Linked DNA regions of Rattus norvegicus. The protein of the gene in region 1 interacts with the protein of each later gene in a biochemical or structural test. Links are inferred from orthologs where the notes say so. Each region holds a gene or a part of one and is shown on either strand. Other genes may lie near its edges.

Region 1 (4,251 bases):
CACCAGAAGGTGGAGAACTGAGAGTCCTTTTATACTTGAAGATAAAACAAAGACTAAACACAAACAAATGTCATCTGGCTTATCTTTGGAAGAGTAATCAGGAGCTGGGCAGAGTACGTCACTCCTACAATCTCAGCACTTGAAGCAGAGGCCAGAGGCTTGCCTAGAAGTTTAAAGCCAGCCAGGTCTACAGAGTTAGCCTGAGGCCAACCAGGGATACACAGTGACACTTTCTCAAAAAATGAAGTCTGAACTGTCTTCCACAGAAGACATGTGAGAGCTGGGGCTGGTGGCACCCAGGATCTCTATGAGTTCAGGGCTAGCCTGGTCTACATAGGGAGACCCTTTCTCAAAAAGAAGAAGAGAGAACAAGCATATGCAGATACACACACATGGACCAACCCTGCCGCTTTACAAATGTGGAAGTCCGGAGGTGCAGAGACCTGCTGAAGGTCATGCAACAAGACAGGAGTAGTCGATTTCCTGTGGTCAGAGCTGCAGAGGCTGCAGAACAAATCCTGGGATCGGGAGGGGTGGGTAGGGAAGAGGCCATGGGTGCTACAGTCTACTAGCAATGGCGCCAAGCAGGAAGTACATGTGGACAATGAACTAAATGTCTGAACTAGGCAAGCAGTGTCAAGCAAGGGCAACAAGGGCTGGACTACCTTTCCTGGTCAAGGTACAAGGCCGCAGGTAATCAGGGTGGGGCTCTCAGAAGAGTGGGAAGGCTCCAAGAAAGCCAACTGGGGAAGAAGAGGAAGCAACAAACAGGAACAGCTGAATTTAGGCTTTCTTCTATAGGCAGACTCTCAGGGCCCCTCGTCCTTCCTTGAGCCCCTGGCTAGACCAGGAGTGCAAAGGCGTGGCTCCGCCCTGTGAGTCTAGGGTCTTCAGGTTCCTCCTCTTAACAATGCAAGGTGGTGTGAAAGCCTCCACCCTCTCCACGTTGGAGAAAGTATCGCCCCTCCCCCACAGAAGGCCCAGCAAAACACAGAGCCTCAGTTTCCTCATCTTAGAAATGGACGCGGTAAAGCTCATCACACAGGGAAGCTAAAAGGTTGAATTAGAACCAAAGCGCTAGGCATGCCCAATGCTGGTTTTCTTCCTCGCTTTCAATCCAGTGTGAGGTCTCTAAAGAATCGTGAGTCTGTTGAGCAAGAAAGGGCTGTGGGCAGAGACTGGGTCATGTCACAGAACTGCAGATGTCAGAAGACAAAGCTCCCATAGAGATGGTTTGCCCAGCATTCTCCCCTCCCCACACACCATACTGGGGCACAGAGCAGAAAAGGATGTGTTCAAGGCCACTCCACTTGGCTGCAACAGACCAGGATCCAAGGCCTGCCAGGGTGCTCTTCTGCTCCGTAGACTCTCAGCTAAAAAGTTACTTTGCTGGGTTTTTAAGTTTTTTGGTTTTTTTTGGTTTTTTTTTTTTTTTTTTTTTTTGAGGGTGGCACAACAGACGACAACAGAAAGCAAAGCCAAGCTCCTTAGCCTCGCTCTGGAGCTGTGGCTAAAGGATACACATCTCTCATGGCTTCCAGGGTGGGTGCTCTGAGGATGTCTCGGATGCCTATGACATTCTCATGGCGGAATCGCAGCAAGATCTGGATTTCTCTCAGCGTGCGCTGACAGTAGGTTTGATGCTCGAAGGGGCTGATCTTCTTGATAGCCACTCTGGTCTTGCGCACGTGGTCATATGCTGAGCTGAGAGAGCCAGAGAGATGTGTGGCCTTACAAAGGGGGAATCCAGGCCTGGTGGCCCCACCCAGGCCTTGGCAGGGACCGGAGAGAGCAGGAGAGGGTTCTGGCCAAGTGTAAACAATGCTGGCTCCTTCCTGCTGTGAAGGCCTGGAATCTCCAGGGGGAAAGCTGGGGACCAGCCAGGCAGCCTTTCAGTGACTTCACAAACAGAGGAAGAGAGTGGCCACTCACTGACTTCCTTTCTCCTGGACCCTCTTACATTGTAGTTGCCCTCACCCTCCTCCCCTTTCCTGAGCTGGACTCTCTCAATCCAAGACAGGTCCAGGGGATGGGAGTTAAATGGAGAGAGTGGATGAAACCCAGAGGATTCAGTAATGGGACAGGGGAAGAGATAAGAAGGGGTAGGTCTGTCTCCCGGTGAGGTTCCTGGGTCAGAGCTGTTCCCATAGGAACAAAGGCCCAGAGCACAGAGTGGGGCAGCGAGAACTCACAAACCTGTATCCCACAAAATAAGGCACATTCTAGAGACCCCTCCCTACTTTGGGCCTCTGGCAAGGCCAGGGGCAGGGGTGCAAAGGTTTGCCCCACCCTGAGCTTTGCTCTGCTCTCTCAAACTCTGTCACAACCTCATCAGGGGGGAACCAAGGCTCCCACTACCTGCTTATGGGTCTCTCACTCCCCCTTCACCAAGAATAGTCATCCTCTTAGCTCCACCTGTATCTCTAGGGTCCCCCAGGTGCCCCTCCCTTAACAATACAAGGTGGCTTCCAAGCCTCCAACCCCCCTTCCCGGAGAAAGTAGCTCCTGGTCCCCCAGAAGTCACTGCACGATCCCTCCCCTGCGACACTCCCCGGACCCCATGTCCCGGGCACGCACCTGCTGTCCCCGCTCTGAAGCCCCCTCCTGGGACACCCCCTCACCTGACCATGCCGTACGCGCCCTCGCCGATGTACTGCAGCTGCGTGTAGCGTGGGCCCACGTCGAATGGCTGCCCCTTCACCACCTCCACCTCCCCGGGGACCACCGGGACGACCCCAGCAGTTCCCCTGGGCTCCCCGCCCCCGCCCCCCGGAGCCGCCGCCGCCGCCGCCATCTCCACTCCTCCCGCCTCCCCCCGCTGCCCCGCCCGCGGCCCCGCCCCTCCCTGCCGCCCTGTCACCGCGGGGCCGCGCGCCAGGCTCCGCCCCCGCCCCCGCGCGCCCCGCCCCCGCGCCTGCCCGGCGAGCCTGCGCGGGCCCGCGATGTCACGTGGTCTACTGAGAGCGCGCCCGGCTTTCCCGCCTAGTTACGCTGTTCCTTCCTTGCCTTGGCCACTAGGGTACTTTAGTCTGCCTAGAGAGTACTGCAGCCCCAGGGGCCAGTGGCCCTGAGTGATGCTGAGGGAACCCACCCCTAAACTTTGGAGACCTGCCTCTCACTTTTTGTTTCATTTACGCAGACAGTATTAATCCAGGCCAGCCCCAAAGGTTCTATGTGGTGGAGGTTGGCCACATCCTCCTACCTTTAGGCCTGAGCCATCATGCAGATTCTGGATGTTAGGCAAGAATCCTATCACTGAGCCACATTTCCATCTTCTCTCTCTCTTTTTTTTTCTTTTTTTCTCTTCCTTCCTTCGTTTCTTCCTTCCTTCCTTCCTTCCTTCCTTCCTTCCTTCCTTCCTTTCTTTCTTTCTTCCTTTTTCTAAGAGGGTCTCTTGACATGGAACTGGCTGTCCTGGAACCCACTATGTAGACCAGGCTGGCCTCAGCATACTAACTCCCCTGTGCTGGGATTAAAGACTGTATCACAATGCCCAGATTCCATAATTTCTTATTCGTTTATTTGCCACATTTATTAATTTTGTGTGTTGGGGCATGAGTATGTCACAGAGCCTGTGTGGAGATCAGAGGATATCAGATTCCTTCTGCTGTGCAGGTCCTAGGTATCCGACTTGGGCTGTCAGACTTGGTAGGAAGTACCCACGTTTGCTGGGCCCCCCTGTGGTGGTGGTGGGCTTATCCTAAGTGTTATAGTGAGGAAGCAGTCTGAAGGGTGGTGGATGGCAGGCAGCACTAGAAAGCTGTGAAGTCAGGTATGCTCCTGTGAAGAGGCAGGCCTGCAGTGGGCTCAGGTGTGTTCTGAGACCCAGTGTTATTGCCTGGAGGACATGCAACCCAGCCCACTTCATATGAGAAGGAGGGAAAGGGTGATAACTGTGAACAAAGATAACTAAATCAATTAAAATGTACAATCTGTTTCTCTCTCTCTCTCTCTCTCTCTCTTACACACACACAGACACACACACAGACACACACAGACACAGATACACACACACACACACACACACACACACACACACACGTGCGCGTGCCAAACAGCAAAATCAAGACCCTGGATCGAGGCTAGTAAGATGGTTAGGTAAGCAAAGATGTTACCATAAGAATGCTAAAAATTTTTTTTAAAGATTTATTTATTTCATGTATGTGAGTACACTGTAGCTGTCTTCAGACACACCAGAAGAGGGCATCAGATCCCATTACAGTTGGTTGTGAGCCACCATGTGGTTGCTGG
Region 2 (4,208 bases), on another chromosome or scaffold:
ATTCGTTTCTGCTTCAAGAAGGGTGAGACAGGGAGGAACAGAATTCCTCGTGGGCTGTGATAATCAGCAAGTTTTTAATCAAATGCAAAATACAAAAGGACAGTGGTGACTATTTTCTCCTTTACTCCTGTCTCTGTGTAAGCTGGGACTCTGAGATCCAAGGGACGCCTGGAGGCAGGTTGGACACCTAGTGGTCTAGACTCATTTCACTATCTTGGCTACGCAAGTCTTCCCAAACAGAATGCTCAGCTTCCTATTCCTGTTTCTCAGAAGGTCAAGGTTGAAGAATCTGCCTTCTGTTTTTTTTTTTGCCAAGTTGCTCCCACTTCCTACCACACTGCTTCCCTCTCTCTGCCCGGTGAAACCCAACCACACTTCAAAGCCCAGCTCAGGTGACACCTCTTCCCCTGGTCGGAGCCCTCCCTATCTTGCCCTCCCTAGCTTGCCTTGGTTTGGTACTGTCTCTCATTACTTCTTGGTGCAGTCGATAGAGCTCTTTGGTTTCCTCTTGTGAGCCTGAGCACAGTAGCAATATTCGTGGTAATCTGCAACTCCTTTCAGATCAGGACTTGTGATGACAGCTGCCAGATGGGCTCACTCTGTGTCCCACCCTCTTTGGGACTTTATCCTGATCTCTAATCTCCAGGCAAGTCTCGGTAGACAGGTATCAGTAGTATCTTCCCGTTACACAAGAGCAAAGGGTGGTCCAGAGAGGCGAAGCATCTCTCTCCAAGTCACACAACCAGGATCACACAGTTAGTATATAGCACAGCTGGGCTTGCCATATGCCACAGCTGGGGCTCTAATCACTAGACCAGCTTCTGTGCCGGCTCTCTGACTTCCTGGCCCAGCGTCTGGGGAGAGAACAGAATACATGGTGTGCTTCCCATAGTTTCGGGGGTTCACCCGCTCCCTCCCCCAAAGCCCACCCACAGGCCAGGCTTCACCGGAGTACGGTCTAGAAGCAAGCAAGGCAGTGACCTGGGCAAGAGGTAGCCTCAAGCCGGAGCCAGGGAGGGAGTCCCAGGCTGAAGAGTCCCTACTGATCCATCTATACTAGCTCGTAGCTCTGGAACAGTGGAGCAGCGTCCCGGGTCCCGAGTCCCAGGAATGTGGGAGGGCTAGGAGGGCAGGGAGGGGGCGCTTCCTCTGGCCGCGGGAGGGGAGACGCCAGAGCGTGCACCGGGCTCGCCACCGCCCACTCCCCGCCCGCCGCCAGCTCGCTGGGGGCGGGGGCCGCGGCGAGAGGGCGGCGAGGGGCCGCGGAGCACGGCAGCGGCCGGCCCGCCCGAGCGGGAGGAAGCGATGAATATTCAGAGGGGGAGGGGAGGAGAGGGGGCCGAGCGCTCCGCGCGGCTCCCTGCAGCCGGAGCCGCATGACGCGCGGAGGAGGCAGAGGGAGCAGCCGGGGCCGCGGGAGCCCGGAGCTGGACGCCACGCGCGGGGGGTGGGCGCCGCTTGCTCCGCCCCGCGAAGCCCCTGCGTGTCTAGGGCCGCGGCCGCTCCGCGTTAGGAGCGCTAGGCTCCGCCGTGTGGCCGCCGCCGCCGCCGCTGCCATGTCCCCGGGGAAGCCCGGGGCGGGCGGAGCGGGGACTAGGCGGACCGGCTGGCGGAGAAGGAGGCGGAGGCGTCGGCTGGAGGCGGAGACCAGGGCGCCCGGCTTCGGGCACACGGCGGGGCGCGTCCCGGGCACGTTCCAGGGCGCGCAGGGCATGAAGCCCGCGGCGCGGGAGACGCGGACACCCCCGCGCTCGCCCGGGCTCCGCTGGGCGCTGCTGCCGCTGCTGCTGTTGCTACGCCAGGGCCAGGTAAGCCTTCGAGTGGGCCTGGGCGTGTGGTGGGAGGACGCGGGCCGAATTGGCATCGCCTGCACCTGCCCGAGTGTCACCCGCTCCAGGAATACCCGGCGAGGGTCTAAGAGATCGTGGTCTTGAGAGCCTTCCTCCTGGAGGGGGCTGGCAGGGATCTTGGCCAGCCTCCCGCTCCCGCCACCAAGCCCCTTCCCTGACTACCGGGTGCCATGGGAAGGGCGAGATTCCGGGGTCCCTAGGGTGTTCCCCGCCGTGTCCGTTGACTCTTCCATGGAAGCTCTTGCATGGGCTGCAGGCGGCGTTGGCCCGGCCTTTCCCGGAGCTGGTCAGGTCTGGCCAGCGCGGGCCCTGCTCGCGCGCCCGAAGCGGCCGGAGGGGGCGTGTTTGCGGAGGGCTGTGGATGGGGAGCAGGGCCTGCCTGGCTGAGCCAAGGCCGACCTACGACCTGGCCTGGAGGGGCCCGGAGAGCTTGGGCGGAAGGGCAGTGGCGGTCGCCGAGTGCTTGGGGACAGGCCCTGGCGTTGGGCAGTCGGGCGGTGGGCGAAGCGCCGGACCTCAGAATGGAGGGTGCTGTTTGTGGGGAAAGTTCCCAGTCTTGCCAAGGTGGCCGCTCAAAGGGTCCCTTGAGGCTGCTGGCCCTGTTCTCATCATCGCTCCTGAGATGGTGCTGGCTTTTCTGGGTGTGTATTGGTGCTTTGTGGGCGCTAGCTAACCCCCTCCCCTCCAGACCTTTTTTTTTTTTTTTTTTTCTTGCTTCACTTTTGTTCAATAATGGTGGGACTCGAATTTTGGATCTTTTCTCTCTGTGGTATTTCGTGGCAGGAGGTGTGATGCAAGGCAGCCTGGGGACATTCCCATTTCGCAGATAGGGAACTGAGGGAGAGAAGTGAAAGAGTGGAATCACCCAGCTGGTGTTGCGGGAGCTGAGCAAGCGAGTTCTGCCTCACAGCCTTCTGGGAACTGGCTGTGGTCTTGAACCCTGCAGGCTGCAGAAAGTGGCCTGGGGGATGGATGCTCTTGTCTTAGTTTTTGCTAATGAAAGAAAGTCTCACTTTCTTCATAGATACCAGCTCCAAGCAGACAGTGAGACACAAATGAAGCAGAGGCTGGGGATGGAATTTTTCAAGGGAAAAATTCTCATGCATGCGCACTCGTACACACATGTGTACACACACACACACACACACACACACACACACACACACACACACACTCGTCCTAGAAGAAACATAGGCACTGGGCAGCGGAGCAGGCAAGCAGAAGAAGGGAGCCTGAGTCTGGAGCCTGACCTCATTGTCAGCAAGGGTCACTCAGTTTCTAGAGCAGGATTTGCACAGGACTCAAGGAGGCCTGGAATGTGGTGTTGTCCCCAGCAAATAGTTATTTACTGGAGTAGGCTGTGGGCTAAGTTTGAAGAAGAATCAGAGTTGAATTTGCCCCCTTTCCCCACTTCCACCTCTAGCAGAAAGCATCTGCAGAATGGGGGTGAGGTGGGGGGGGGGTCACATCATTTCATAGTAGAATTGCTTGTAGGGCTTCCATTGGACGTGTGTGAAAGAATTTTGTATCAGAAAAAAATCACTTTTCATAATATGCCTTTCCAGATGGGATTAACATTAAGGAACAGTGTGGATGGGCTGTCTTCACAACAGTCTTTGATGATAAAGAAAAAGGACTGCTTCATATTTGAGCTCTCCCTTTCCCCTAAGAATTCACTATGTAGACAAGGGTGGCCTCAAGCTCATTGAGATCTGTTTGCCTTCGTTTTCCATGTTCAGGGATGGCCTTGTCTTGGAACTCTCTTTAACTAAAGTTTGTATTATAGAAACATTTGAGCTACATTTCTCTTTAGTTTAATTTGATATATATATATATATTACCTACTTTTGTTTCAACTATAGACGTTGCAAGCTGTGCTTTGAATCAGCAAAAAGTATCTTGGGTAAATTTATTTCTTGCCCAACCCTTCCTTGTGTTTCTTTAGCACATTGCTACTCGACTCTTGCCTTGTATGTGCTCTAATTTCCTTCCTCTAGTTTGTTCTGTAGAAACTCAAGAGTACTGTCTTCATATTCTTCTTTTTGTGTTTATTACAAAATAGGAAATGTAAAAGGTTTTGTGAAGAAATACCTCCAAAACTCATATTCAGCAGTTTCGTTTTGATATGGACTATTACAGGGAATTGGCGCCCCCCCCCCCTCTCTCTTGTGCGGCGCTGGGCATGGAACCCAGGGTGGGGGATATGTTCTACCGCTGAGTTATATTCTCAGTCCCAAAAAAGCACTGCGCTTTTGAATTGACTCAGAGATAGTTTCAGGGGCTGGCAGGATGGCTCATTGAGTAAGAGTGTTTGCTGCACAGGCATGAGGACTTGAGTTCAAATTCCTAGGGCCAATG

Evidence for each region. The genes of interacting proteins can lie anywhere in the genome.
Region 2: of the proteins of Mapk3 (region 1) and Ptprj, one has a biochemical effect on the other in vitro, tested with the Homo sapiens proteins (2 studies listed by IntAct, with this or other methods). The link is inferred for Rattus norvegicus from reciprocal best matches to the Homo sapiens genes MAPK3 and PTPRJ.

Annotation. Positions count from the first base shown.
Region 1 is NC_086019.1:190,795,771-190,800,021, reverse strand, and holds the start of Mapk3 (mitogen-activated protein kinase 3), read right to left. Parts: upstream 2,829-4,251; 5' UTR 2,795-2,828; coding exon 2,622-2,794; intron 1,705-2,621; coding exon 1,522-1,704; intron 1-1,521.
Region 2 is NC_086021.1:97,014,817-97,019,024, reverse strand, and holds the start of Ptprj (receptor-type tyrosine-protein phosphatase eta isoform 2 precursor), read left to right. Parts: upstream 1-1,368; 5' UTR 1,369-1,376; coding exon of another isoform or gene 1,377-1,712; coding exon 1,713-1,808; intron 1,809-4,208. UniProt on the Homo sapiens protein: Tyrosine phosphatase which dephosphorylates or contributes to the dephosphorylation of CTNND1, FLT3, PDGFRB, MET, KDR, LYN, SRC, MAPK1, MAPK3, EGFR, TJP1, OCLN, PIK3R1 and PIK3R2. Plays a role in cell adhesion, migration, proliferation and differentiation.